Linked DNA regions of Notamacropus eugenii. The protein of the gene in region 1 interacts with the protein of each later gene in a pairwise test. Links are inferred from orthologs where the notes say so. Each region holds a gene or a part of one and is shown on either strand. Other genes may lie near its edges.

Region 1 (7,980 bases):
TCAAGAAACATTTTTTAAGCACCCCCTATGCTTAAAATGGTCAGATAACAAGCAACTATGTAAAAATAGGCTATATAAAGGATAAACTGGAGATAATCAAGAGAGATAAAGCACTAGAATTAAGGAAAGGCTTTTCATAGTTGAGTTTTAGTTGAGACTTGAAAGAAGTCAAGGAGGCTGGGGACAGGGTTGAAGAAGAGGGCAATTCTAGACATAGGGGACAGTCAGTGACAATGCTAGGAGTGTGGAGATCAAGTATCTTGTTTGACAAATAGTAAGGAGGTCAGTTTCACTGGATCATGGAGTACTGGAGGGGCTTAAAGTGTAAGTTATGAAAGCCTTTGAATGACAAACAAGATTTTATGCTTGATCCTTAAGTTGATAAGTAGCCACAGTAGTTTACTAAGTGTGTGTGTGTGTGTGTGTGTGTGTGTGTGTGTGTGTGTGTGTGTGTGTGTAACATGGTCACTTTAGGAAGACCAATTTGACAGTTAAGTCAAAGATGAGGAGAGAATTGAGGCAGTTAGTCCAACCAATAGGCTATTGCAATAGTCCAGGCTTAAGATGATAAGGGTCTTATCAGATGATAAGTGCTGGCGTTGTTAGAGGACAGAATGAGGTGCGTATAAGAGATATTACTAAGGTAGAAACAACAGGACTTGACAACAGCTGTGGATATGAAGGATGAGAAAGTCAAAGATGATACACAGGTTTTGAGCATGGGTGACTAGAAAAATGGTGATACCCCAAACAGTAATAGGGAAGTTAGGAAGAAAGGGGTTTTTTGGGTGGTGGGGAGAGATAATGAGTCCAATTTGGGCCATATTGAGTTTAATATGCCTGTAGGACTAATACAATTCGAGAACTCAAATTGACCATTGGACATACACAACTGGAAGCTAGGAGAGAGATCAGGGCTAATAAGTAGATTTGAGGACAATCAGCATAAAGATGATAATTGAATTCGTAGGAACTGATAAGATCATCGAGTGAAGTAGCATAGATAAAGAAGAGAAGGCCCAGAACAGAGCCCTGGGGGACACCTACTTTTGGTGAGAGTGCTTTGGTGAAGGTTGAAGGAGCCTTCAGATGAGGCAGGAGAGAATAATGTTCTAAAAACCTAGAGAGAAGAGAATATCAAGAAGAGGGTGACCAACAATGTCAAAGGCTGCAGAGAGGTCAAGAAGGATGAGAGTTGAGAAAAGGACATTTGATTTGGTGATCAAAAATCATTGGTAACTTTGGAGGGAGTAGTTCTGTTAGAATGATGAAGTCAGAAGCCAGATGGAAGAGTCAAGAAGAGAGTGAGAAGAAAGAAAATATTCTAGCTAGTCTTCTCAAGTTTAGCCACAAAAGGGAGGAAAGATATGGGAGGATAGCTAGTAGGGAAAGAAAGATGGATCAAGTAAGATTTTTCTGAAGATAGGGAAAAATGGGTATGTTTGTAGACAATAGGGAAATAGCCAGAAAACAGGAAGGGATTCAAGATGAATGAGAATGGAGTTGAGAGGGGAAAATCTGATAGAGAAGATAGGATGGAATGGAATGGAGTCAATTGTAGAAGGGTTTGTCTTGGCATGAAAAGGACCACCTCTTCAAGTGAGACAGAGGTGAAGGCATCTGGGTGATGACAGATCATTAGGAGGGGATAATAGTGAACTCTCAAAAAATGGTCTAAATTTTTTCAGTAAAATATAACAATATTGAAAATATGAAATATTTATAAAATAAAATATGAATTTTTTTTTAAAGTTCTTAGCTCAGAGAGTGGGTGAAAGTGGAACTATGGGAGGCTTGATGAAGGATAAAAATATTTGGTAGAGCTGCTGTGGTGAGTGGGATAGTGAGCCAACCAGAGAAGGGTAAAAGGATTTCCTTGTGGTAGTGAGGGTGAAATTGAGGTTATGCAACATAAATTTGTAGTAATTCCAGTTAGCACAGGTTTGTGATTTTCTCCAGCTTCATTCAACAGCATAGCTGAATGCCTGCTTAGTTTTCCTGAGGCTGGGGATAAAAATACAGAAGTTGTTTTCATTTATCCATAATTAGGCCCCCAGAAGTGAGGGCTTAGGCCTTGCAAATTGTTTCACAGCTTCAATAATCCTCTAGGAGACACTTTCCTATATGGCTGATGTCCAAGGCTGGACTCTGATGCTACCACTCTCTGATGCATGCTGGGTCAAAATGAGGCATTCATAGAAGTCACTGGAGATTTACTTAAGAAAAGATTTACTTAATAAAAGCCTTAATAAAAGGCTACAGTGGCACTTAATTTCTTTAAGTACAGTCCTCTTTCTCCCCCTTGGCTCTAAATGGATAGGTCACATCAGCAGGGCAGGTAAACCTTATTGGACTGAGTTTTATAAAAATATCAAGTATAAGGGACATAGATACCATATGAGGGAGAAAATCCATCAAATCTGAGGGACCTGGATTCCAGGACATGTTATATTCCCCTTAGATGACAGGAAGCTGTATCAGAGAAGTCAGGGCTAATCATATAGTTAAATTATGTAGAAAGGGAAACTTTGTTTCTTTTAGGTAAAACCTCCCCATGTTGCAGATGGGAGGAAAGAAGGGAAATGTAGTTCTGTCACAGTTGCTAAAATAGTAATGGGAAGTATTACAAAATAGTAAATGATGACATTTCCCCTGCATTGACCTCTTCTAATAATTTGACACTGTTGACCATCTCCTTCTCCATAATCTCTCCTTGCTGGGTTTTTGTGACATTTCTCTATTCTGATTTTTTCCCTACTTGCTGGACATCTCAGTCCCCTTTGCAGAATCATTATCCATATCCAGTTCCTTATATGTGGGTGGTCATGCTTGGTCATGAGTACTCCCCTCTTCTCTTTCTACACTCAGTGTCTTGGGGTTCCAGTTAATTCCCTTGGAGTCAACTATCATCTAAATACAGATGGCTCCCAAATCTACAGATCTAGCCTTGATCTTTCTCCTTAATTTTCAGTTGCTAGATGAACATTTCTACCTGAATGTCCTGCAGACATTTCAAATTCAACATATCTAACACAGAATTCATTCTTTTACCTCTAAAACCACTCTTCCTCTTAACTACCTTATTTTTGTTAAAGAAAATTCTTCCAATCATCCGGTCTCACATTCCAGGAGTCATCAATTTTTCACTCTCCCAAATCCTCCATATTCTATCAGTTGCAAAATCTCATCAATGCTTAGATCTGCACCTTATCCCTGGCTCCTAATTGATCTTTCTTCATCCATTTTCAATCTGCCTCCCACACAGCTGTCAAAGTAATTGTCCTCGACCATGTCACTCTGCTCAAAAAGCTTCAGTGACTCCCTACTGCCTCCTTTGTTTGCTATTTAAAGTCATTAGAAGTCTAGTTCTAGCATTTCTTCTTAGACTGATCAAACATTACTCTTGTTCAGGCACTTTGGCTCAGCTACTTGCTATCCTCAGCATAAGACACTCCATCTCTTGCCTCCATACCTTTATAAAGGCTGTTCCCTATTTCTGGAATGTTCTCCCTCCTTACTTCTATCTCTTGGATGCACTAATATAAAGGTTTAGGTCAAATGCCACTTCTTTTACAACAGGCATCTCCTGGTTCCCTCAGGTTGTTAATGTCAGCCACCCAATCATTCTGCATTTATTTTGCATAAATTCTATATTTATTTATTTGTGAATTTGTGGTAGTCCCCCAAAAGAATGAGGACAGAGACTGAGATCACTTTTTTATTTTGTATCCCTAGTGCCTAGCACAGTGCTTGACACATAGTAGGTATTAATAAAGGTCTGTTGGTTGATTCTTGCTGTCATATGACTATCCATCTTATACTTGTATCATATTTATTTGTATACATGTCCAAAATCCTTCCTCTCCTATTAGATTTTAAGTTTCCTAAGTTTGAGGAGTATTGTTTTTCATCCTTTTTTTCTTACTAGCATAGAGCCTTGGTGCTTACTAAATGTTTTCTTGAACTGACTTGAATCTTGGCTGTCACTAGTCTGACTTTGGTGAGCAAGTCACTTAACCTTTTTGAGCACTGTTTCCTTTATTTTAAAGAAGGATGATTGAACTAGATGATTTCTAATATCCATAGATCTTTGCTTAAAAAAACCTGAATTATATTCTTTTCTCAATCTCTTTATATTCTGCAGATTCAGGTTCAACTTTCAAAAATAAAATTCAATAAATTTAATTCCTTTATCATAAAGAATTGCTTTCTACATTATTTACATGTTGCCAAAGACAACAGACACAATACATCACAAAGTTGTAATTGACCTGGTACCATCACCTGGAATGAGATAGAAACCCTCTGGGTCTTTGACTCTGTGACTAAACCATTATTTCTGTAGAAAGCATCAACTAAGGGAATGGGTGTAATGCAATGGAAAGAGTGCTGAAGTCAAGGAAACCTGAGATTAAATTCTAGCTATCACTTACTTTCTGTGAAATCTAGAGGAAGCTCTTTAACATCTCTGGGCTTCCTCATTTGTAAAATGTCTAACAAAATTGCTTCTAGAATCTTTTCCATCTCTAAATCTATGATGATCACATCTGTGCCTAGAGGAAATAAGGTGGTGCCTACCTTAATTTTAAAATAACTGGTTTCATACATAATTCACCAAATCATTGAGGTGCATGTGGGAGAAGAATTATCTATGCATTTTATTTTTTAAAAACAATATAAAGACTAGAGATTAATAATATGCTATTTGGCATACTTCATTCACTTTATTCAACAAGTACTACTAAACAAAACTCATTGAGTTAAAGACAGATTGGAGGATACCACATAGGGCAATGAGAAAGCCAAGTATGGGAACACATAAAAGAGAAATTAGAAGGGCAGAATCAGTCCTTTCTAGCTCTGACATTTTTCTAGTTTAATGAGGCAGCAACTGTTTGGATTGCAGGGGGTGGGGAGGAGGGAGGAGTTAGAAAAGATTTCCAAGTTCAGTGTGGGTGGGGAGAATGAAGGGCAGCCTGGTGTGATGATATAAAGTTCCTAATGGACTTTAAGTCAAGACACCAGGTTTTGAATCCCCGATCGAGTACTTTCTAGCGTTGGACCTTGGGTAAGTCATATAACTTCTCTGATTCTCAATTTCTTAATCTCTAAAATGGGGAATGATAATAATCGTATCATCTATCTCAGACTCGATGGTAATGTGTTTTCACTCTTAAGTGCTATATGCATATAAATTTTTAACAAATGTCCAGAGGAGTTTGCGGGGGAAAAATTCGAATCCAGTTTTAGAGGAATTTAAATTAATTGGGGAAATCCAGGGAGTTATTTACCCAGGTGATGGTTGAACCTAGGGAAGCAGGTGATTCTCATCTCTTTGTCATTGATGGATGCATCAACACTACAATGAGTGGGGGGGGGGGGGGGGCTTTTGAGGATGGGAGAGATTTAGCGTTTTATGGAGTTTCTTGGTTCTCCAGTGGTTATCATCTTGCAGGTTTTGTAGACAATTTCGCTTATTATTTCTTATGATTCGTTAATCCAGGTGTGCATGCGGGTCACCGGGTCTCCCTGGTCTGAATTCAGGGTTTGCCCTCTTATCACTGTGCCAGGTTAAGTTGGTGGAGGAAAGCAGGTCACGCAGATCGGATGGTACCCCTAGGACCCAATCTCCCTTCCCTCCTTCCTCCCCTAGTGTCTCCCCTCCCCCGCCCCATCACTAACTCAGCATAATTCCTCTGCTCGCTTTGTTGCAGAGGTGCGTACTAGGTAGCGCCCGCCCTGGTGCCAGCTCCAGCTCTTGGTACCACCCCCCGTAAACCCTTTGCGATCCCCACCCTCCCAGATGCCAGGAAGGCGTCCCATCCCCGGCCAGGAACTTGGGCTGCGCTTTGAAACTGGTTTAACTAGTTTTTCGGGAGCTGGCGGCCGGGAAGAATGAAGCCCGCAGGGGCAAAGGGAGGGTCTGGCCAGCGGAGCACAGGTAGGGGCGGATGGCCCCTTCGGGACTCTGGGAAGGCTTCCAGGTGGGGCGCTTTCGCACAAGCTGCAGCGCTTCTCCAAAAACACTTCATCCCAACTTACACGTCCAACCATCCCTCCCTGCGGCTCCTCCCCCGGCGATCAGTGCGCAGACGCACGAGATGTGCGCGCTCTGCCACGGCGGGACGCCTTCCGGGAGTTGTAGTTCACCGCCGAAGGGGACTCCTCCACCAAGCCGAGCCCTTCGATCTCTCCGAGACTACAGCTCCCGACGTCCTCCGCGAGAGGGCACAGAGCGTCGTGTCTTTGACGGCCTCCGCCGTCGTCCAAAGGGAGTAGAGGCAACCGGGGAAGCCGGCAGCGGCGGGAGGAGGGGATGCGCTTGCGCGTTGCCCGGTTGGCCCCGTTCCGTCCCAGTCATTGTAAACAGGCGGCGGCGTAGAAAAGCTTGGGTGGGGTGGCGATGGGGTGCCTGGGGCTTGCCCGTGGCGCGGCCGAGGGGGCGGAGGCCACGGCGTGAGCGCGAGCGCGAGGCGGCGGCGGCGGCGAGGAAGAGGTCGGTCGCACCGCGGCTGGGGCAGGTCAGTCGCGTGCCCGGGAGTCGCAGCCCTTGACCCTCTCGCACTCTGTGGGGAGGGGGCGGGGGGGCTCCCCCTCCCTTTCCACCGGGCGCTGCGCCCCTTCTCTTCCCGGTCCCCGCACCACGTGAGGGTCTGATACTTCCGTCTCCCCAGTGCTTGTCAGGTGCCGCCCCCCTCACCTTTGACTTCGGGGGTTGGGGGCGTGGTTTTGAGAAAAGCGGGGTGTCAGGCCCTCACCCCCGCCCCCAGTTTACCCCGGGATGCCTCTCCTTGCCTGGACTCGTCCGGCCGCGTTTGTGCCGGGGTGTCTGGGAGGTCAGGAGGTCAGGCTCGTTCTTCTCACCTTCAGTGCTAAGAGACCTCCAAAGGGGCCCCCCAAGTCAGCCTTTAACCTAGAGCCAAAGGAAACCTCGGGACCCGGAGAAGGCGTTGGGGGTCTTCGCCTGCCGGGATGGAAGCCCGTTAGGATGTCAGGGTGTGCCGTTAGACGCTGCGGTGGCCCCTGGATTTAGGCTTCAAAAGGTGGAGAGATGGTAGAATCCTAGATTTAGAGCTGGGATGGGCTTTGGAAGGCAGATCCTGCTTTGGACCCTTGTTATTTGTGTGCTAGTCACTTCACCTTTCCGAGCCTCGGTTTTCTCACCTGTAAAATGGGGATAATAAAACACTATCCCCTAGGATTGTGAGATACCTGTAAAGCGAGTTGCAAACTTGAAGGATGGCTAGGAAATGCTGTTATCTAGTACAGGGGGTTCCTAAGGTAAGGCTCATTGTACCCAGAGCATAGAGTTCATGAACTTGGATGGAAAAACATTACGTTTTTTATTTTCACTAGTCTCTAGCTGAAATTTATAATTTTATTTAGTTTTTTTAAAACGTTTTTTAAGCTCCACACGCTTCACCAGCCTGTCACCAACCTGTCAAAACTCCCTGCACTTTACAGGTGAGTGGTTAAATAAGTGGCAGGGTTTGAGTCCAAGTTCTCAGAATCCGCATTCAGCATTTTTCCCCCAATTGTTTTTCACTGGTTTTTTCTTCCCACTGGAATACTCTTTCTCCTCACCTGCTGCCTCCCTGGCTTACCTGACTTCCTTCCTGTCTCAGCTGAAATCTTACTTGCTAGCTTTTCCTGATCCTTCAGTAAAGCTTCCCTACCCTCTAAGATTATCTCCAATGTATCCTATGTTGTTTGTTCATATTTGTTACAATGTTGTTCCCCGTGTTAGACTGTGACCTCCTTGAGGGAAAGGATTGTTTTTCTTTTCTTTTTTTGTATCCCTGACTTTTAGCACTGTACTCGGTACATAGTAGGTGTTTAACAAATACTAGTTAACTTGACCTCCTCTTTTCAGGATTAAGGCTTTTTTGAACTCACTTTTCAGATTCTTTTATGCTAAAACACTCTTTTTTGGGGGCAATTGGACAATTGGGGTAAAGTGATTTGCCCAGGGTCAGCTGG
Region 2 (7,459 bases), on another chromosome or scaffold:
ACTGGGGCTGAGGTTGGGACAGGTACTGAACAGCAGGAAAAGCTGAAGGGGCTGAGGGGAGGAAGTCAGACATGGATAAAGACCATCCACAAGCCAAATTCTCCAAAATCTTCACTGCCTGTCCCACCCCACCCCTGTTTCTAGGTGTTTGCCCTCACCTCTGAGCTGTTGGCTGGGACTATAGCCTGGCTGAGTAGGTCCATAGTGAGGTGGTGGCTGGGCTGCCCCATAGGCCCCTCCTGGGCTACCCTGGAATTGCCCATGTTCTGAGGTTCCTGGAAAAGCTGTTGACCCCACAAAATGACGGGTCTGGAGAAGATGTGGAGAGTTAAGATTGGAAAGTGTTCAAATATTAGGTACAAGCTTACAACACACTGTCAGGATAAGTTGTCTGATTTGATAGCTGGAAATCATATATAGAAGTTGCAAAGCAATTTACATACATAATGTGTTTTAAAAATGAGACAAGTTCAGAGAAGCTAAGTGACTTTCAAGGGTCACGCAGGAAGTGTAAGATGTGTTCATCACCTTATCTACCTCTAAAATCACATAACTCCATAATACAATTTATAATTAGGGGAGATTACATTGACATTTTTACCTTCATCACAGCACATTAAATGCCACTGGTAATTAAAATGCCAGGGATCCCTGTCTGCTTACCGTGAGCACTTGGGGTCCAAACATCTGCTTGGCTCTATCAGCAGACATAAGGGTTCCTGGTCTGCTGTGTCCTCCAGGACTGCCTGTGATGAGGTGTAGGGTTCAGATGGCTGCAGGCTCTAAGGAGGTCTCAAACCACCTCCATGATCCTTGCCCCACCTATACCCACCCTTTCCCCTTGTCCACCTCACCCTGCATACTAAGAAGATGTGTCCCTGTGTGTACAGCCAGACTTTGTTGGTATGCTGCAGATGTAAGTGTTGTCAAGTCACTGAAGGGCAAATAAGATCAAAGATGACAAAGCTGTAGGCAACCTTGTAAGTTTTACAGATGAAGAAAAAGTTCCAAAGATATTAAATTTAAAAAATTAGAATGAGATTCCCTAAGATTTATATAGGTGGCATAGGATATGAACCTGGGTTCATTCTCTTCCTGATACCACATTCCCATTTCACAAAGCCATACCTTAGTCTAGGCCCTCCATGTCCCCACCTTTGCTCCTTACGACGCCTTTTCTCCTCCTCATGTAAAACTTTCTTGAGCTGCAGGAAGAGCTGGTGCTTCTCCTCTTGTAGGGCCAGGAGCTTCTCTTGCAGTTTAAGGATCTAGGAGGATCATGGAGACAGTGAAAAGGAGGTCGGCCAGAGCAGAAAGGGGAGCAGGGTGAGTAAAGAGATTAGTGTGTGTGTAAAAATTGCTTACCTGTTCTTTGGTCTCTTCCAGTGACATCCTTTCTTCCATTTCCTTTTTCTTCCTCCTCTCCTGTTCCTCCTTCATTTTCTGTTCCATCATCTTGTCTACCTCCTCTTCCTCTGGGGGAGGGGCATGGGGTTAAAACCTTAAAGCTAGAAGGGAATCTCAGACATCAACCCCTCATATTTAACACAGAAAACAGGCCTACGCAGGGAAAGTGACGCCTCAATTCAAGACCCCACAACTATGAGAACTGACAGTAGTTTTTCAAATCTGGCCTCGGGCACGTCTGAGCTGTGTGACCCTGGATAAGTCACTTAACCTGTTTGCCTGAGTTTTCCGTAACTGTGAAATGGAAACAACTGCACCTTTCTCGCAAGGCAGCTTTACAGGAGCTAGACGGACGCTTGCTCCTCCCCTCCCTCTGGAGTTCAGACCTCTAACATGCAAGGCCTCGTCCGGGATTGCCACGTGCTGCTGCTCCCTCGGAGCTCTGGGCTGGCTAGCACCCTCACTCACCCTGTCTCTTCCTCTCCCGCTCCATCATTATGTGTCGATGCAGTGCCCTAGCCATGGCATTGGAGAGCTTGGGGCGTTCCAGAAGGGCCGGCATGGTGACCCGCAGGGTGCTGTCACACAAACTGGGGTACGGATCCTGAGACTTGATCACTGACAGTCCAGTCCCAGAAATGAATCTGGTCACCCAGCGGAAATCTGGTTGGTTGGGGGATAAGCATGATCACAGAGGGGAAGCGGGGATCCTACCAGCGAAAGGGGAACCTGAGAGCCCTCCCCACCACCCCGAAGGCTCCACCGCGACCCGGCAGCCAGGCAAGGCTGGGGGGGTGGGGGTAGAAGGAGGCTGAGCTCCCCGTGCTTGGGACGGAGGGCAGACCCCCACCCCGCCCTGGCCCCGGACTCCGTCCGCTGGGCTCCGAGGGCGGGCGGGGCTGGAGGGCGGGGCCGGAGACAGCATCAGGACTCCGGAGGCGACACCGCTGGGGCGTATGGGGCAGGTCACGTGCTTCTCCCGTCAGGCGCCCCGCCACCCCCTCGAGCCCATCACCTGCTCCAGCCAGCGGGGTTGGGGTCGAGTGCCACACTGGGTTCCCCACCCTCCCCACTTGTCCAGCAGCTACCAGCGGTGACCCCGCTCTGCGCAGGCGCGACCAGGGTCCGAAAGTCTCGGACTAAACCTCCAGGCCCCCAGCCCCTCCCTACCTACCTCCTCTTCCTTCTCACTTCAGCCCTCCTACAGGCCTCACGGACTTCGTCATTTCCTGACTCGTGAGTAAGTACTTCCGGGGCCACCGATGAGCGATGGCGAAGCTTAGCACACTGCCTGAGTGGGGGAGGGGACGGAAGGGCGGAAGAGGCTGGGGAAAAGGGAAGCTACGGCGGCTGCGCGGGCTGCTCCGGGCTCGCCTGGCCGGCGCCCAGACAAACCGTGGAGGCGTGGAGTAAACGTAGCGGGCGCTGGAGTGGGATGTTTTGGGGGGTGCGCCGATCTTCTACCGTGTGACCCTCCCGCGTCTCCTCCCAGCGCTGGGAGGGCTCCTTCCCCCTGAAAGCCTAACCCCAAGGCCAGGCCCGGCTGCTGCTGGAAGGCGGGGGCCGGGGCCGAGACCCAGACGAGCCGTTCCGTGTTTTACAGGTGACGGGGCTTGCGCACCGGGATCCCTCAGCGTCCTTTAATGCTCACTAACGCCGCCCGGGCTTTCCCAGGCCGTGCCCTGGGAGGCCACGGGACGCACGCTCGGGGAAACGCTGAACTGCAGAGAGTGATCCAAGTGAGCGGCAATGCCGACCCTGAGGCACAAGGGCAGCGGAAGGTTCTGTGGCAGCCTCGGGACCGAGGCAGACGGCACGGGCGTTGGGGCCCATCAGTTCTCTCCTCCTAAGACTCTCCAGGACGTACACAGCATTGAGAGAGAAGACGCGGAGGACAGCGCCCCTTCCTGACCCCCGGCATCTGCTCACGGAGCTTCACTACAGCCTCGTGAAGCACATGGCCTTATCCCCACTTTGCAGTCAGGAAGTGACTTGCCCAGGCTCAGGCGGGACGCTCCTTGGAACTCTCCTGGACTAGGATTTCCCTAGATAAGTGCAAGTGGAGACTGGGACAAAGTTGTATCTGAGACAGGACGTTTATTTCAGTTCTTTAAGAAATCAGAGTATGTAACAGCTGTACAAGGGGTGGCCCCTTCTCCCCCGGCTATTCCTTCCCAATGGAAAAAGTTTCAACGGAGAGGGGAGGGAGGCAACTCCCTCTGGGGATTCACATTAACCAGAAACAACGCAAATAAATTAAGTGATGGGAGTTTCCCCAAATCAGTGCATGAGGAGAGGGGAGGGAAGTAGTGGGGTCAAGACAGAGAAGTGTTCTGGACCATTACAATTTCCCCAAATCTGTGGGCAATCCCCAACCCAGGAGAGCTACTACCCCCCCAAACTGGGAACTCCTCCAAACAAAAATGCAACGCCCCCTGGAAATCTGGGAAACTCCCATCATGTCCACTCTCTTCCCTGGGAACAGTTGGGGGAATGTATAAAAAGTTGGTGCTTCCAAAGTCCATAAACCTTCCCTGTCATTGTGCTTGGCAATATAGGCCCACATCCTCTCACTCCACTCGTACCAGCAAGGCATAGAGTAATGTGGCACCCTTTTCCTTGGTCACCCACTCAAGCTCAGCAGGGCTAAAGTGGGGGTCAGGAGGGCCCCCAAGAGCTGTAGAGGGTGGGCCAGGTGTGTAGGATCCAGGACGTACACACACCTGGAATGCCACCTGGGCCTGGTATGGCCTTTGAGATTTGGGATCCCGGAATCTAAAGACAAGAAAGAAGGAAGGGCCTGTTGGGACAGTATGAGAAAAAAAAAAAACATAGGAAGCAAAGGGTAGAAATGTGCAAATACATAGTGGAAAAATTGCGGAATAGAGGGAAAGAAGGAAGGGCATGGGGAAACCAACAGGCAAGGGAAAAGTGAGAAGAGGGAGATTGGAACCAAAATCTAATGGAAACAAGACATTAAAAAAAAGCAGGCTTAGGGACCCCACTCTAGGTTTCAGCAATGTCCCCCACTCCTTAGTTACCCCGACTTCAGTTCCCACCCCCACCCCCCAGTCTCCTTCACTCACTGCACTTTGGAAGCAAGGGCATCAATCCCAGCAGCATGCCGAAGGGAGGGGGAAAGCAGCACAGGAGGGGGCTGCTCCTCACGAGGAGGGACACAGTTTTCACCAGATTCTCCATACCCACACCCTGGCTCTGCCTTTAAAGGCCTACAGCTGAGGATTGAAGCACTGCCTGAAAGGAAAGGGTAATGGTTAGGGGTCTCTCCACCCTCTATACCTCCTCCTTATGGAAGAAGACCTGATTTCCCCCAATCATTCCCCTCAGCATCATCATACAACTTTGTTTATCCTTTCTTACCTGCCCCCAGCTCTCCTCGGTCTAGCACCCTCCGAACGGCCCCAACACTACTCCCATGATAGGCCATATGCCACTTCTTGGATAGTGCTGCTGTCTCCAATCGTGGATTCACTCTGCAGGAAAGAAATGTGTATGTCTGTGCTGACCTTGATCACCCCTCAAAGCCCGTTCTTTTCAAAGAGGAAAAGTTGGACTTGTTCTGTCCAACTGTCTTGCTGAAAACTGCCTGGTAAGAAACAGGATCCTAGGAGTATAGATCTATAGAGAATTCAAAGCCAGGTCTTCCACCTCCCAGGCCAGGTCACTTCTAATTGTTATCATACGCTAAAAAACAATTTCTGAACCTACACATCAAATAAAATAGGTATCTGCACATATATAATAGAACAAAAAGAGAATTGTACAAGAAGCTGCACATTTCTAATAATAGCTGCACGTAAGTACAGCTTGTTTTTTCTTTTAGATGTTCAACTTGTAGCTTTGTCCTGCGCTTCCCTATGCCGACCTTTTGTTTTTTAAAAAGAAAAAATTTCTCCATTGACCCTTTTTTTTTCCAATGGTGTGGGAAAGAATGGTATTAGGAAGGCAAAGGGGGACTAGGGAGAGGGCCGCAAAAAAAAAAAGCACACCTCGTAAATTTATGCCACTTCCTTGAATAGGAAATTGTATATCCTATTGAAGTGACATTTTCTAGACCTAAAAATGAAGGATAAAAGAAAACTCTTTCTGCCCTCCCTGGGCATCGAGTCCTAGGCTGCCCCAGGCTTCCACCCCTCCCACCTTAAGCCACATGCCTGAGGTTAAAGCGGCACCAGCCAAAGGGCAAGGCATACTCTTGTGGCGGCTCCCCCCGACGACGATGTGCCTCATCGCCCCGAAGTTTCCGACAGGACTCACAGTAGCACAGGCTTCGCTTGGGGGGTGGGACAAAGTAATCCTCTGGCAAAGAAGAGAAAGGTTGAATTCAGGGGCTATATTTCCTAAAGAATCCTTATTTCTATATCTCATCTGTGTCAGCCTTCAGAAATGAGCTCATTCCCTCCTCCCCCTCTCCCCAAACTATTTGGGGGTTTGAGGAAAGCAACTCTAGTGTCCCAAGAAAAGAGAGTTGATAAAATGATCAAGTCTCACCTGGCAGTAGCAGCAACTCCTGGAACCGAGAGCAGAGGGCATGGTATTCACAACTCTTTAAAGGACTGGCATCTGGAGGTGGGGCCCAACATACACTCTCTTTGATGCCTGAAAGGTAGGGCCAAATCAGAGTAGGGAAGGTGTGGGGAGAGAAGAAAACAGTAAAATGGGGACTGGGGGGAAGATGGGAGCAGGGCATATTTTGGGGACATCTGCCTCATTCAACTTCTTAAGTGACTGCGTTTGGGAGGTGGGGGGAAGGGAGGAGTCAGGAAGAAATGATTCTCTGGGGAAGAAGCAAAGAGTTTCATATTAAGGCAACGACAGGTGTCCAAAAACAGAAGTAGAATTAAGAGTAACAAAGTACTCTCCAGCAGGATTGTATAGTACAGGCTCTCCCTGAGCCTCACCATCTACCACATCAGCCTTCTCCATGTCCCCCTGGATTCCAGCTCCCTCCCCATTGGCTGCTCCTGTCTCAAGGCTCATAATTGTCACCTGGAGAAGAAGAAGGGTTGGTTAACCTTTGGTCTGCTGCTCTCCCCTACCACAAAGGATTTTCTCAATCCCACTGTACATCCCTTCCCCTCCCATCCAACCCTTCAGCCTCAATTCCTTTTCCCTTTAAACTCCCCAGTTTGTCCCATCGACCCCATAAAAACTTCACTACACCCCCAATTCTAACTTTTTAAATCACCACCACCACCATGCTCCTCTAACTTCCTAGATTCCTCCCCCCTTCCAGCACTGTTCCTGACCAACCACCCCCTGCTGACCTGCTCACACTGGCCATAGAGGTCCACTAGGGCATGGCAAGGCTGGGGCACCTCAGCCACAGCCACACCCTGGTCCACACCATTGACATAGAGGTGCAGCCCCCCAGACCCGTCCAACCTCAGCCCCAGCACCGTGCCTTCTGGGCACGTGTCCAGGTTTGGCCCATACTTCTCGCAGATCTGGGGGACAGAAGCATGAGAAATGAGCCACTTCTCAAAAACCCCCACCCCTCCAATATCAATACCCAGTCTCCAATATTCTCATCTGGTCACCCCACAAACATACACTTCTTTATACACTTTTACCCTTTTATTCCCAGGCTTCCCTTCTTACAATCCCCTCCCCCAACAATTGTTCTTACCTTTTCCCCACTCAGGGCCCATTCTCTGGGTCTATCTATTACCTCTTCTTTAGGTTCACATTACCTTTGTATTTTACCCCATTTGTTCCAATGACTCCCCAAATTCCTATACCATTCCATTTTTCAGGGCCTTTTCCTTTCCTGATATCCCAATTATCTCCAATCACTGGATCTGCCTTGCCTACAGGACTGTTCCCCTTCTTTACATGTCCTGCCCACCTTGAGGCCATTATGGAAGACACCCTGGCCCCGAAGTAGCCAGGCGGCCCGTTTGAGGGCACAAGCTGAAGCTGGGAAGTTGAGCCGCTCAGGGGGGCAGGCAATGACTCCAAGGGCCAGGGATGAAGTCCACTGCCGGTTCAGGAAGTCCAGCCGCACCTGGGGGAAGCGGGAGATTACCTC
Region 3 (7,550 bases), on another chromosome or scaffold:
ACCAGGGACTGAACCCAGGTCTTCTGACTCTAAAGCAGTAATCATTCCACTAGTTTATCCCCTTAGAAATTTTTGTTTTTTTAAAAAAGGCTTTGCAGTTTTTCCAGTGCCCGTTCTAATTTATCTGCAACATATCTGCTTAACTTAAGTCTAGATGGACACTTTAGATGACAGTCTTTCATATTTTATGGACTTTTTTTGGGTGTTTCCTCAAACACTTCTGAATGACAATACTATAGGCCATGTCTTCCTTTTCCTCAAAAAAATGAATCACTCTAGCTCACACAGATGCATGGGCTGCAACTCACCATTTCCAAGCAAAGCTAGTGTCTAGACAGTTGCCAAAAACATACACATAGTTAACTTGCCTTGCAGCACATGGGCACAGGGCAGACCACATAGTCAGCTATAAACCACACACACAGCATCCATCCATCCATCCATCCATCCATCCATCCATCCATCTATCTATCTATCTATCTACCTACCTACCTACCTACCTACATCTACCTTCTATCTCTCTAGTTCTCTCATCTCTCTCTCTCTTTCTCTCTCTCTCTATTTCTGTCTCTCCCTCTATCTTCAGTTAATATTAACTTGTGAATCAACAACCAGTTGACTTTAGCATAATCTTTTTTTCTGATCAACCTTTCAGTCTACTGACCTATTTTATCATTACGTTTCTCCAGGGATTACTTCTCCAGTACCTCCCAGTCTTTAGTTTTGTTTTAGGGTACCACAAAGCTAGGAGAGTACAGCCTGGATGGTAAATGCCTCCTTTTATGTTTCTTATACTGGAATCTGGCTGTCCAATTTGGGAGCTGCAGAAGACAGCACAAAGACCACCAGTTTTGTTTCTCCTGATAACCAAGACTCCTGGAGACCCTGAAAAAGAGAGCTAAAGATTTCAAAATGGTGGTCTCTGGATTCTCTCCCTGCCAGGCCCACTAATCATCCTCAAGCTAGAAGATGATTTGCTGCCATCAGCCTGCGATTTATTTATTTATTTTTGCTTGCTAGGTAACCATGTCAGTCTACAGCACAGCAGAGAAGAGAAATGCTGAACGTGTACAGGCGTACACAGGCACAGGTGAAAATAAGTACGTGGTTTTACTATTTAGCAGAATGTCACAGGAGGGAAGACCAAATGCCCGGTTTAGCTGAGGAAGAAGAGGCTGAGAAACACACCTACACTTAAGGGCTGTAGGGACAAGGAATCCAAGGACCCTTTTCTCTTGAGTCTGTTGATTTTTAAATTTTTTCTGGTCATTAACATTTTTTTTATCCAGTAAGGATAACTCAGGAAGCAATATGTTCAAGTGGTAACCACAAGAGAGGAAGAAAATTTCTGCCAGGTTCTCTCAAATCTCATTCCTCCCTCCCCACCCCCAATCTCCCCACCCCCAAAGCTGGGCTGACTAGGTATCTGTATGCTCTAGGGCAAGGTTTGGACATTGGGGGTTCCTTTTTGTATTATTCTCCACCAGGGGCTTTCCTATAAATATCACATTTGACTCTTCACAAATTAAAGGCCTACAGAGTATGGGAATGAGTTTTTTACCATTATAAATAGGTGCATCTAAGACAAGGGTGGGGAATCTATAGCCTCGAGGTTACATGTGGCCTTCTAGGTCCTTGGGTATAGCCTTTTGACTGAGTCCAAGTTCTACAGAACAAATTATTTTATTAAAGGAATTTGTTCTGTGAAGTTTGGATTCGGTCAAAGGGCTGCACTTGAGGATCTAGAGGGCCACATGTGTCCTTGAGGCTGTAGCTTCCCCACCCCTGAGACAAGTAGTATGAAATAGCACCAAAAAAAAAAAAAAATTAAAGTGTCCTTTCTTTTGTGCCCTGCTCCCCTTGTTGAGACCTTGGAGTTTGACTAATGTGCCTTCTTCTAGATAAGCTTCATTTTGAACAAAATTCAGTTTTATGTAAAAACACAGATCTAGAGTTGGATGGGACCTTGACTTCTAGTCTGGGAGTAAGGGGTGCCTTATTATATAAATGAGAAAACTGAGGCCCAGGAATATAAGGTGACACCTATGGACACCCACGTAATGAGCACCTGTATGTGGGCCTGCACCAAAGGCAGGAAATCAACTCAGGGGCTCAAAATTCAAAGATTATTCTTTCCTTTAAAAAAAAAATAACTTTACCCTGTTTACTTTTCACAGAATGTGAGAGATAAAATGATCTTAGAGATTATTTGGTTCTTCCCCCTCTTTCTTTTTTTTGGAGATGAAAAGATAGAGGCTCACAGAAGCAGGGACTCATCTTGCATGGCCCTGGCTGCTCCAAAGCATCAGACCCTGAACTCATCCCCACACGGCCAGATTCCAATTCCACCAGACCATCCTCCCTCCTGGAATTGTAGCATCCACTTTCTTTTTTTTCTTTTAAATAGTATTTTATTTTTTCCAATTACATGTAAAGATGTTTTTAACATTCTTATTTTTAATAAAATTTTGAGTTCCAAATTTTCTCTCTTTCCTCCTTAAGACAGTAAGCAATTTGATATGTTATATATGTGCAATCATGTAAAACATGTTTCCTTATTAGCCATGTTGTATTAGAAAAAACAGAACAAAAGGGAAAAACTACAAAAAAATAAAAGGAAAATAGAATGTTTCTACCTGCATTCAGACTCCATCACTTCTTTCCTTGGATGTGGATAGCATTTTCTATCATGAATCTTTCAGAATTGTCTTAGATCGTTGTATTGCTGAAAAGACCTAAGTCTATCAAAGCTAGCACAATGTTGTTTTTACTATATACAATGCTCTCCTGGTTCTGCTCATTTCACTCAGCATACGTTCATATAAATCTTTCCAAGTGTTTCTGAAATTCACCTGCTCATCATTTCTTATAGCTCAATAGTATTCCTTTACTTTCATGTACTACAACTTGTTCAGCCATTTCCTAATTGATGGACATTCCTTCTGTTTCCAACTCTGCCACAAAAAGGGCTGCTCAAAATGTTTTGTGTATGTGGGTCCTTTTTCCTTTTTAATGATCTCTTTAGGTTATGGACATAGGAGTGGTACTGTAGCATTTATTTTCCAAGAAAAATACACACACACACAGACACACACACACAGACACAGACACACAGACACAGACACACACACAGACATACAGACACAGACACAGACACACAGACACACAGACACACACAGACACACACACACAGACACACACACACAGACACACACACAGACACACACACACACACACACACACACACACACACACACACACACACACACACACACACACACACACACTGGGCTTAGTAAATGGCTTCTTGGCCATTAAATATCTCATGGGAAGTCCTGCACTGGCAGAAGCTCTGTAAACTGCAGGTAGGGAAATGCAGCAATTAGGTGACAAATGAATATCATTGGTCTATTTGAGAGAAAAGGCTTTAGATTTGGGTTTGTTTTGCTGCCTCTCTTTAAGGTAAAAAAACAAAAACAAAAACAACCTAAAGAAAATTATCCAAATAGCTGCCCAATTTCCTGTTTGTACCTGCCCCTGTAGCAATAACCAAAACATGATTGGGTCAAACTCAGAAACTGGGGTCACTAAACTGTATATAAGAAACCTGGTGTTAACATTTACTATGTTCAATCATATCTTTATTTGTTTTGTTGAATATTCCCCAATTTCATTTTATTCTGTGAGGGCCTAGAGCATTTGGAAATGGATTAAATTCTTTTGCTGGGGCGTAAGAGATAGAACTCTGGATTTGGAGTCACCAAGATTAAGTTTAACTTCTGCCTTAGACAATTTATTAATAGCTATGTGACCTTGGGCAAGTCACTTAACTCTTTGCCTCAGTTTCTTCATCTGTAAAGTGAGAATAATATTAACATCTATCTGAAAGGGGTTTGAGAATCAAATAGCATGTGTAGAGTTTTTGCAGACTTTACCCATAGAAAAGATCTGCAGCTTGAACCCAAACTTTAAAAAAAAACAGATAACTTTCCTTAGAGTTGAAGTTCTTAACCTTCTTTATTTTGTCATGGACCCCTATGGCAGTCTAGTGCAGCCCTAACGACCCTTTGTCAGAATAAAAGTTTTAAATGCATAAAAGACATAGGATTATACGGGACACAAAAGAAACCTATTATGTTGAAATATAGTTATCAAAATTGAAAAAAAAAGTTCACGGACCCCAAGTTAAGAATTCCTTATTTAGACGGTCTGCACTCATTGGAAATTAAAATTTTAAATACTACCTAGATGTTAGAGTCCAACAAAAATATCCATTGGAGACTCCACTGGCACAAATATTCATTTGGGAATGAATGAGTTAATGCCAGTTAGAAGCCTGAGCCAAGTAGAAAGAAGAACTCAGAAGAAAAGAAGAAGAAAAATTGGGGGAAGAATCGCTCCTTGGGTTATGGAGCCATGTGGTGAAGGGGGCGGGGGAGCCCAGTTAGTAGCCCCTGCAGTGCGCAGCCTCTCACTGCTGCCGCTGGATGGGGCGAGCGCAAGAGGTTATTTGTGGTTAGCTTTGATCCCAAGGGGGAACCTGAAACTCTCACATTCCTGGCATAGCTTGCCGCCTCTTGCACAGTCCAACCTCTGTGGCTCGCGGTACAGCTGGAGGAGCGCAGTCTCGCTTCCAGCAGTCACAGAGGCAGGATCTCCGTGCCCGGGAGCTCAGAGCTGCGTGCGGACTTTTCCTTGCGCTGCTCTGATTTTTCCAATTCTTTTTTTTAACTATTATTATTAAAATTTTGTTTTGGCATTTCGGCAGTAGGGGTAGGAAGGGGCCGCAGATAAGCCAAGACACGCACGCATTCTGCATTTTCTCCCTCCGAAAGAGCTCTGTACGGCTAGCTCCCCGGCAACTTCTGTTGGCTGGGTCTGAGACTCTAGGACTGAGGCTTTCAGGCTATGGGTTGGTAAGTTTCACCAGGGAAATTGACGCGTTCTATTTGCCAGTGTCTCGTAGCGCACAGCCGGGAGACAGGGAGCGAGCTCTCGGGGCCATGCAGAGAGAACCTAGGGGAGGCGGGAGCGGATGATTGGGAGCCGAGAGAGCTCCTCATTCGTCCGCGATCCCGGTGCTTCGACTACACTGGGTTTCCCCTTTGCACGACTCTTGGCGGCTTTTCTGCGATTTAGATTGGGGAAATCTTCCCGCAAGCTTGATCATTCCAGCCTGAGGGATACTTGGGGGGCAGAGGAAGGATACCTTAGCTCTTGACCCTGGCTCTTGCGATGCCCTTGAAACCTATGGATTTCCAAGTCTTCTGGTATTTGGAAACGGGAGGCGCTAGGGAGGGGAGGGAAAGGCCTGGAAATGATTAAAGAAAGGGGGGGAGCAATCCAAGGATTATTTGGTTAGTCTTGAGTTACAGGTGCTTTTGCCCCCCAACTAGTTAAAGAAATCCTCTTTGTCTTGTTTGGAAAAATGCTTTCCGGAGCCATAAGCCTGGCCCTCACTTAGAAAGAATGTTAATTGCAGTCCAAACCCTGATGATGTCAGGGCAGAAATATTTGGAAAACAAAGAGGGACCAGAGCAGCCAAGGAAATATAAATACTTTTCAGATGGCAATCGGTCGTACACTTTTGAGGTGAATTGGTGTTCAAATTGGTTCTAAAACTAAGGAGTTCGGAGCGTTTTTGACTCAGAAGTTATTTGTATGGGGGGGATCCAGTTACAGTTTTGGAACTCTGTTGCAGAAGTTGGTAGAAAGTGTGGTTTAATTTAGGCACGTAGGAATCTCAGTATTTTGGAGAGAATTTTCCGGCCGTTTTTTCTCCCTCTCCCACCCCCACCCCGCCTTATTTAGTGGAACACTGAGTGTTACAAAAAGCCAGAAAATAAGTACTTTAAGGGGAGATTATTATTTTTGTAATGGTTTATAGCTCCAGGGCCCTCCTTAACCTAAAAGAAGGACTTGTAGTTTATAATGACCTTATGGTTTAGTTATTTGATATTTGAGATTAATGGGTTTTTTTTATCAGGTCCAACATTACAAAAACATTATTAGCTTGTTCACAAGATAGGACAACTTGCATGGTACACCTTTTGAGAGCTCAAGTGATGGTGTGTCTAAGGTAGATTCTGGATTGTCCTAATTATTCTCCACTGACAGTCTTCATTAGTGAGCACGCTATTTATTAGACTGTGATTACTGTAGAAAATGCTCTGGTAATTGTGAAACATAAAAGTGGTTTGACTCCTAAGGATTTTTGTTGGTTCTCGTAAATTGTGGATTTCAGAATCTCTTCAATCCTGCCCTAGGAGTGGTAGGCTGGTATGATGAAAAGACTGGGTGGAAAGTTATACTACTTATGCAATTTCTAACTTAGCCAAAGATCCTTCCAGTGTCATAGTTGGGTTGTGGGGTTTAGCATGAAATGAGAGGGAAGGGAGGGAGGATGGTAGTTTCTCACTCTGGAGCAGCTAGGTAACACAGTGGATAGAGGTTGGAGTCAGGAAAACCTGAACTCAAATCCTGCCTCATTCATACATTTACTAATTTACTAGCAGTGTGACCCTGAGCTAGGCACTCAACATCTGTCTACCTCAGTATCCTCATCTGTAAATGGGGATAATAATAACACCTAACCTCCCAGGATTTCTGTGAAGATGAGAAAGTGCTTTGCAAGCCTTCAGGCTCTCTATAAATGCTAGCTACTCATATTATTATATTATTATCACTATCACACTAAACTGGTGATTTCTAGATATCTCATTGGCTTAGAGAGTCAGAAACATCCACAAATTCACCCACCTCTCTCAGATGGTCACTTCATTATGACTTGGGAAATAATGGCTACTATTCAGAGTCATTATCATAGAGTTCTCTTTTAAAAATGAGTTTAATGTACAAATGGATTTGGGTTTTGATGGTTATAGAGTTAGGGAATATTGTGATGATGCAGCTGCCTTAGGAGTCGCTAGCTTCCTAGAGTCCAGATATTGGAAAACTCTTCGTCCCTAGAACACCTTAATCGATCATTGAGCCCCTGCTAGACTCAGTTCTGTGCCTTTTTGAAACCATGGCATTTCCTTACCCATAGTACTGCCTCTGTAGGGAATGTGCTATTACTGTTAATTATGACTACAACTATTATGAATTACTATCAACAGACTGAGGAGGAGAGCCAGTTAGACTCTGTCCAAATAACGTATAAAAAATATCTAGGGAAATTACCTCTTTGTCATCTTGTATTTGTCTGATATATTAAGATACTGTAAGCTGGGCCAGGTAAAAGGGGGATAGTTTGCTGCTTACAGGGACCATGTGATTTAACTAGTGCTTGTTGGCAGGACTTTCTTGTTCCCAGTGGCTTGTTAAATAAAGCCTCTGTTCACAATACCATAATTCATATCCAGTCCTTTCCTCTTTCATTATCTGGCACTCCATAGTCATTTCCTCCTTCCTTATTTCTAATATTCACTGTCTCAGAATGATCCCCAAGGTCATCCTATGACATTGGTTCAAATATATCAGCTTAGCTTGTACCAGTTCTTTTTTTGGGGTAACTAATACCTAGACAGACCTCCCCATGTCACATAGAT
Region 4 (7,083 bases), on another chromosome or scaffold:
CAGTCTAACTCAACTTCACATAGATTTCAGCATTGCATTTTAATTTAGTTTTTGGTGAGATTTTTGTGCCATAATCAGCTCCTGATGTTTGTGGAATTAATCTGAAATGAGAACTCATGAATATATAATCCATTAAGGGCAAATTAATCCTCCTCCTGTTCCTATAAGTTTAAATTTCTGTTCCATTTCTAGAAATCTCAGCAGAAGGTACCTACTAAGCCATTACTGACACTTCAGTGCATATTGTACACTGGCTAATAAATTAATACATATTTTTCACAAAAGCAAAACTCTCAATTTTGACTGAAGGAATGAAAAGAGGTATTACACCAATCTGTGTAAAATCCAAAATTGACTTAAGACTAAATGTTGTTGCACTAAGTAAAAACTTTGGATCTATAAACATTTAAATTAAGAAATGACTCAAAAATATTGTTAACTACAGAAGTCACTAAACACTCGACTCCTGGGTTTAATGCTGTCTTGACAATGCCTCATGTAGATACAAATGGAACCAGTCACCCAGAAATATGCAAATAATATCAATTCTATCTTGAGTTCAAATCAGTGATATGATTGTATTTCTGGATGTCACAGTATTATGAACAACAACAATTACCTTTCTTCTTCCTTCCTCTTTCCGATCAAAAGCACACTGTTGTTTGCACTGTTCACAGGTTTGAGGTGGTCCATATTTCTTTTCCGAATTTGTGCAACGCTGACACTTTGTGCCAATAAATGCTGCAATAATATTGCAGTATTGACAAGGTTTGGGCTGAAATTAACAGAGACACAACTTTCTTTAATTTAGGCATTTTAATGCTGGAAATCCTTCTAATACTGCAGTGTAAAAGAAAAATCAAATACTTTATTACATTTGGGAGTAGTGTTCAAAAGTGAACTGTTCCAATTTAACCACAACTCATGGACATTTTGTTTTCTTTTTGGACTTATGATCTCACTGTTGCACTTTGGGAAAACTGAAATATATGAATCTAGTAGTAACAGTTGTGTTTTTTAAAAAACACTAAACAATATGTAAAAAAAATAAATGCACACTCTCAAACTTCTTAGACACACTAAATGAGGAGTCATCTTAATTCAAAACTTATTATATACCCAGTCAGTTTTGAAAAAATTTGTACACTGCACACAAACCACATCAAATATCTCATCTTTCTTTGACAAGAAAACATTTCAGAATTTTGTAGAAACTAAGGTCCAGACAATGAACATCAACACACTATGCTGAACTATATACTATTGTGGATCTAAGTATATGTATGTACTTAGTATACGTATATGCTAAGTATATGTATATAAGAATTTGTACTAATTGATATTTGCCTTCTCTCATGAAATGCTGTAATTTGAAAGGAAGGAAAGACAGGAAGATCCCAACATTCTGAACAACTAAGTTCTGTATAAATAAGAGTACTATATTTGTTTAAATGCTTTTCCCACAGGAAGTATGGCTTCACAAACTCTAGATTTAAAATGGGCAAAAAAACTGTTAGTTTCATTGGAGAGGGTTTGATTTTCTCAATCTGTTGCTTTAATATTTAATTAAATTTATCAAGTAATGATTTCAAGTATGTATGTTAAAACTATTTATGCACCCAAAATTAACATGTACTTTCTATCCAGATGCTTTTGTCTTTAATAAAAAACATCATTTGATAGGTAATGTTCAGTGACAAAGTGAAAATGTAAGTAAGGCACAGACTTACTGTCCCAAACTGCTTCACATTTTGCGCACACTTCTTGCAAATTGTGTTAGTTTTGCTGAAAGAAAAATTCACATGCCATAATTAACTTTAAATACGGTTTTTAAGTCACTGATACACTGCACAGATGAACATACACAGCTGATTACAACACGTAAGGAATATCTCAAACTATATGTACTTCTTCAGATGCTTTTTAAAACAGTAAATATTGTTTTTCAACATTAACTCTTGGTCCTATCAGCAAATATTCCAAACTAATTTGAGATCAGTATTTTGTAAGAAATAATCACAAAATTGGGATTATTGCTAGTAAAAGTGCATCTTGGAGAAAAATTTTACGATCTTTAAAGGTTTTAATTATTTATATACAAACCTTTCCTGTTGAAATTCTGATCTGCAATAAGTACATTTTACAATAGGATGCGCAATCCGACATTCCTGTAAGAAATTAATACAGCAATCAGCGCTTAGCATACAGTTTCAAGTCTCCTCTCCAAGGGGGGAAGAAGAGCAAACCTCTATAAATAATTTCAAAACAAGAGTATAATGGCTCTGCAGGTAGAGTTGGACTACGTCTTAACACGTAATTGTTCAATTAAAATATGCTGTAATTCCTTATGGGAAAGATAGGTCTCTTTGTGTTTATTAAATTTCTCTACGTCGCTGGTAGGGTTAAATACGATGGTAATCTGGTGGAGTCTATGTGAAAATGCTTTTTACTGTTCTGCGACGCTGCTTACAAATGCTCACACTTGCTTCTCATCGGATCTGAGAAGATCCGAATGAGACCAATACTCTGTGCCATGGCCAGCAAGTCGCTCTGCTTTTCTGTGACGGAGAGGTCACCATTCAGTGCCCTCGAGAGAGAGATTTAAAAGTGATCTCTACATCCCGGAAGGGGAGAGCTGAAAGGGCAGAGACAGCGACAAAAATACCTCCTGCGTGAGACAGGTGGCTGGCAGCCTCGGGGGTCGGCCCCACCCCGAGATCTCCGCCCTGAGCCCAGGCCACCTGGCGGGGGTGGGTGGGTGGGGGGCTCCCTTCACGCCCCGCCTCGCGCAGACAGAAAAGTCCCGGACTCCTCCAACCCCCGAGGCGCCGGCGACTGGGGTAAGGAGGCGGAGCGCGGGACACCCAGCCCCCTCCCAGGGCCACGTCCGACCAGACCCCGCCCGGCGCACACGGACCTTGCAGAGCTGCTGCCCCTGGGAGAGCTCCTCGAAGGGATAGCGTTGGGTACACTTTGTGCAGGCGTACAAGGCCGAGGCCGCCATCCTCCTCCTTCTCCTCTTCCTCTGCCGCCTGCTGCAACGCGGGGCCCTCCGGGGCAGCCTAGGCACCCGGGCCCGGCCGCGCGCTCCTCCCGATGCTTCCCCCCTCAACCCCCGCCCCGTGGCCACAACGACTCCGCGCTAGGACCCAGCTACAGCACTGCCAGCGCCGCGGAGTAAATACCAACGCCACAGCCGTCTCCCTCCGCCTTGCTTCGCCACCAGCCCTCCCGACCCCGCAACGGTTCCCGGCCGCTCCCTCTTAGGCCCAGACCGCGGTGGCGGAGGGAGACTAAACGGAGAGTCGAGGATTAGATTAGCTGCGAGGCGACAGATCCGCTTCCTTCTCCTTCTCTCTGTACTCTTTCGGATTGGCTGTCGCAGCCTTTACGTCACTCAGGCGCCACTCCCCTACCCTCACCCCGATACGCCGAGAGCCCCTACAAAGGAAGAAGGTCACCAACCAATAGCAGCTCGTTGCCGTCCGCGCGCGAAACTTGCTTCAAAACCTTTCCCCGGCCTAGAGGCCTGCGTCGTTGTGCTTGCTAGTGGCCAATCCGGTGTTCGGGGGGAGGACTCTGCGCTCCAATTGGGCAAATGCCCACCAAAGACTTTTCCCTCCTGCTCTTCTGACTCTTCTTTCTTGACTTCGATTGGACCGAGTACTTTGAGCGCCTTCTATACTGTCTCATCATTGGTCGTACTTCGGTAAGCACCGCCCGGTAAAACCTACCCCCAAACCACGGTCAGACTCATCTTCGAATTTGAGCAATAGGAATGTTTTGTACATCCGAGGCCTTTTACGTCAGCTCGGCTTATCGATTTTGGATGGCCATTTTAAGACACCGAACCAAAACAATACCCGGAGAAGTTTCCTTTGGCCCCATGGCCCCCGTAACCCAGCCCTGCCCCTTCCTTGCGTCGCCTTTGGAATTATCCTGTTTTGTTATTGGCCCTCTTCGCTCTCAATCCGACACCTTGTGGCGTCATCTTGGGGAAAGGGCGGGTTCTTCCCCCCACCGCTCCCGGACGGTGTCCTCTTCTTTGATTGGTTATTTGTGACGCCTATCCAGGTTTGTTGTCCTTTCGATGTGCGTAAGGCGCGCGCGCGCGCGAGGGGGGAGGGTGGGGTAAATCTCCGCCTGCCTAACTCATCTCTGTACCCCTACCCCTTCCCCCTCAGCCCGCCGCTGGCTCGGTGGTGGCCCGGGCTCTGATTGCTGGGGGGCGGATCTCCCCGTGGGGGCGGGGCACGAGCCTTGGGGCGGGGCTGGTGAACTCGGGCAGCCTTCCCCGTAGGAGGAGCCTGCTGGCAGGCGGGAAGATGGCGGCGTCGGCTGGCTATTCTGGATGCGCGGTAAGGAACTGTTTGCGTTCGAACGGGGCCAGGGACGCCCCTGGGCCCATTGTGGCCCCGACGCCTCCTGCCTGGGTCCTGTCGGGTCCCTGGGGGGCCTCCTCCGCTCCCCGAGTTTCCCCAGCTCTTTCCTTCCCTCTCCCCGACCCTTCCGTAGCATCTCTCGCTTCTAGGCTCCCTGGGTTGACCTGGCCCCCGGAGGTGAAGTGATCTCTGCCCCCTGGGCCGGCCGGGTCCTTCCCTCGGCCCAGCTGTTCACGCTGAGCGCTGGGCCCCGTGGGGACCGCCGGGGCTGCTGCGTGCTACCGTGAGCGCGCCCCCGGGTCCGCCTGGCTTCCCCAGCCCGGGCCGGCCCGAATGCTGCTCCGGGTGGCAGAATGTAACTGAGCAGATGCTCCGTAGGGACGAGTGTAGAATCTTACGCTCGGACTTTTAAAAATATGTTTCCACATGCAGGAAGGGGGAGGCGTGTCTGGAAAGATTTGGGGCTTTTAGTGGACTCCGAACTCAAGTTGAGTGAAGTGTGTCATAGTGAGTAAGAAAATTAAGGAACCTAATAGTCTCGTTAATAGCATACGTAATGAGGGTCGTTAAAATGGTCAGATCATATGTGGGTTCAGTTTTGCACAGTACTTAGAAGGACCGTAGTTGAATGGAAAAGAGAAGAATTAGGTTGGGTAGTGCAGTGGAAAGAGGATTTGGAATTAGAGGAGCCGAGGTGGAATCCTGGCTCTGCCATTTATTCGCTGTTTGTGTGACACTGGGCAAATGGCTAAAAGTCTCGGGGTCTGTTTCCTCATCTGTCAAATGGAGGTCTTGGCCTCTGAAGCCCCTGTTCTGTGATCCTGTGAGATATATAGATAGTTGTCATAAGAAGGGTCATTCAGCTTGACAAAAAACAGTGGGTAAATAGGCCAGATTAGGTTTAATTTAAGAAAAAACATTTACAGTTAACATCCAAAAATGGAGTGGGCTACTTGGGTACTCTCACTAGAGATCTTCTAACGAAGGTTGGAAACCATTGTCATTTGACCTTTTCAGATTCTCTCAAATATGCCCACTTCTCTCCTCTGACACTACCGCTGCTCTGGTGCTGGCCCTTACCTCCTCATTGCTGGATTGTTGTAATAGCTGCTGGTGGATCTGCCTGCCGCAAGTCTCTCCCCACTTCATTCCATTCTCCTTTTAATCACCAAAGTCTTTTTCCTAAAATGCAAGTCTGATCACATCTATCTCCTCAATAAACTCCTGTGGCTTCCCACTTTTGCTCATGCCCTTCCTCTTTTTTCCACTAAAATCCTAATTCTTCTTCTAGTCCCAGTTGAAATTTCCACTTTAATAAAGCCTTTCCTGATTAGCCTCCATCCTTCTATAGCTATATGACTGGCATATGTAGCTATGTTTTACCTCCCCTACCAAATTGCAGAGTTGTGGAAGTAAGGGGACCATGTCTAGTATGCTTTTTATCTCCCATCATGTTTTATACAGTCAGTAAACAATTTATTTAGCATCTGCTGTGTTCCAGCCATTGTGCTAAGTGTTGGGGATAATAATAACAACATTTATATAACACTTACCATATGCCAGATGCTGTGACTAAGCATTTTACAATTATCTCATTTGCCCAGGTGCTATTATTCCCATTTTACAGATAAACTTAAGGCAAACAGGTTAAGTAACTTTCCAGGGGTCACACAGGTAGTGTCAGAGGCCAGATTTGATTCAGTTTCCTCATTCCAGGCTCAGTACTCTTATCTACTGTGCCACCAAAAGCAAAATACATTCCCAACTCTCAAGGAGCTTGTAATTTGATGAGAGAGACAGCATGCAAATATGCAGGATAAATTGGAGATAATCAAAGAGGGAAGGCACTAGAATTAAGGGGGATTGGGAAAGACTTCCTGTAGAAGGTGAGATTTTTGGCTGAAACTTAAGAGAATTCTGGGCATTGGGAACACTAAGTGAAAATGCTTGGAATCAGAAGATTTTGTGTCTTGTGTGAGAAATAGCAGAGAAGCCAGTATCACTGGAACACAGAAGATCACTTTGGCAATTGAGTACAGAATGAACTCAGTTTCATCTCACTTCATCTGTTTGTTTTAAGGGGAAAAACCAACCAGCAGCCCATATAACAAATAAGCCTTAGTGATGAGGGCCTGCACCAGAGTGGTGCCATTATCAGAGAAGAGAAAGAAACAATAAATAAACAAAAAATAAATGAGAGAGGTAAAATCAACAGGTCTTTGCAACAGATTGGCTATGGAGAATGAGAGAGAGTGAGAAGTCAAGAATGATAACTATTAGGAAGAGGAAAAGATTTAGGGGGAAAGATAATGAGTTCATATTTAGACCTATTGCATTTTCATGTTTATGGGAATATAGTTCTGAGATGTTGGAGGTGTGAGGCTGGAAACCAGTAGAGAGGTTAGGGCTGAAGAAGTAGATACAAGAACATCACCATAGAGGTGATAATTAAATTTGTGGGAGCTAAAGAGAAAACCAATAAAATAACATGGAGAACATAAGAGGGCCCAGGACAGAGCTCTGTGATTAAACATTTGTTGAAGAAGTAAATGAATAACTGAGTTCCTACTATGTACCCAATGCTACAGGATTTTGTAGAAAATAATGTAGTGGGTCTTTGAGCTCACTAATGTTTATATTACCTTCAGAAGTGCAGATTGTGGCCACTCGGGCCTTCTCACCTTGTGTCTTTCTTGTCCTC

Evidence for each region.
Region 2: the proteins of RALBP1 (region 1) and GPS2 interact in binary tests that used the Homo sapiens proteins (3 or more experiments, as listed by UniProt). The two-hybrid records come from large-scale screens. The link is inferred for Notamacropus eugenii from reciprocal best matches to the Homo sapiens genes RALBP1 and GPS2.
Region 3: the proteins of RALBP1 (region 1) and AMOTL2 interact in binary tests that used the Homo sapiens proteins (3 or more experiments, as listed by UniProt). The two-hybrid records come from large-scale screens. The link is inferred for Notamacropus eugenii from reciprocal best matches to the Homo sapiens genes RALBP1 and AMOTL2.
Region 4: the proteins of RALBP1 (region 1) and CEP57 interact in binary tests that used the Homo sapiens proteins (3 or more experiments, as listed by UniProt). The two-hybrid records come from large-scale screens. The link is inferred for Notamacropus eugenii from reciprocal best matches to the Homo sapiens genes RALBP1 and CEP57.

What each region holds. Positions count from the first base shown.
Region 1 is NC_092875.1:233,698,669-233,706,648, reverse strand, and holds the start of RALBP1 (ralA-binding protein 1), read left to right. Parts: upstream 1-4,961; 5' UTR 4,962-5,068; intron 5,069-6,384; exon of another isoform or gene 6,385-6,521; intron 6,522-7,330; exon of another isoform or gene 7,331-7,464; intron 7,465-7,980. UniProt on the Homo sapiens protein: Multifunctional protein that functions as a downstream effector of RALA and RALB. As a GTPase-activating protein/GAP can inactivate CDC42 and RAC1 by stimulating their GTPase activity.
Region 2 is NC_092873.1:78,711,502-78,718,960, reverse strand, and holds the start of GPS2 (G protein pathway suppressor 2), read right to left. Parts: upstream 3,014-7,459; 5' UTR 2,582-3,013; exon of another isoform or gene 2,423-2,581; intron 2,071-2,422; 5' UTR 1,970-2,070; coding exon 1,876-1,969; intron 1,476-1,875; coding exon 1,366-1,475; intron 1,269-1,365; coding exon 1,129-1,268; intron 935-1,128; coding exon 855-934; intron 747-854; coding exon 664-746; intron 310-663; coding exon 159-309; intron 52-158; coding exon 1-51. Other genes in the region: NEURL4 (neuralized-like protein 4), read right to left, coding at 3,978-4,182, 4,494-4,662, 4,789-4,901, 5,583-5,727, 5,920-6,027, 6,330-6,417, 6,696-6,875, 7,277-7,435. UniProt on the Homo sapiens protein: Key regulator of inflammation, lipid metabolism and mitochondrion homeostasis that acts by inhibiting the activity of the ubiquitin-conjugating enzyme UBE2N/Ubc13, thereby inhibiting 'Lys-63'-linked ubiquitination.
Region 3 is NC_092876.1:334,135,048-334,142,597, forward strand, and holds the start of AMOTL2 (angiomotin-like protein 2), read left to right. Parts: upstream 1-4,532; 5' UTR 4,533-4,916; intron 4,917-7,550. UniProt on the Homo sapiens protein: Regulates the translocation of phosphorylated SRC to peripheral cell-matrix adhesion sites. Required for proper architecture of actin filaments.
Region 4 is NC_092876.1:162,363,499-162,370,581, reverse strand, and holds the start of CEP57 (centrosomal protein of 57 kDa), read left to right. Parts: upstream 1-4,072; 5' UTR 4,073-4,325; coding exon 4,326-4,358; intron 4,359-7,083. Other genes in the region: protein FAM76B, read right to left, coding at 620-775, 1,731-1,785, 2,104-2,168, 2,918-3,004. UniProt on the Homo sapiens protein: Centrosomal protein which may be required for microtubule attachment to centrosomes. May act by forming ring-like structures around microtubules. Mediates nuclear translocation and mitogenic activity of the internalized growth factor FGF2, but that of FGF1.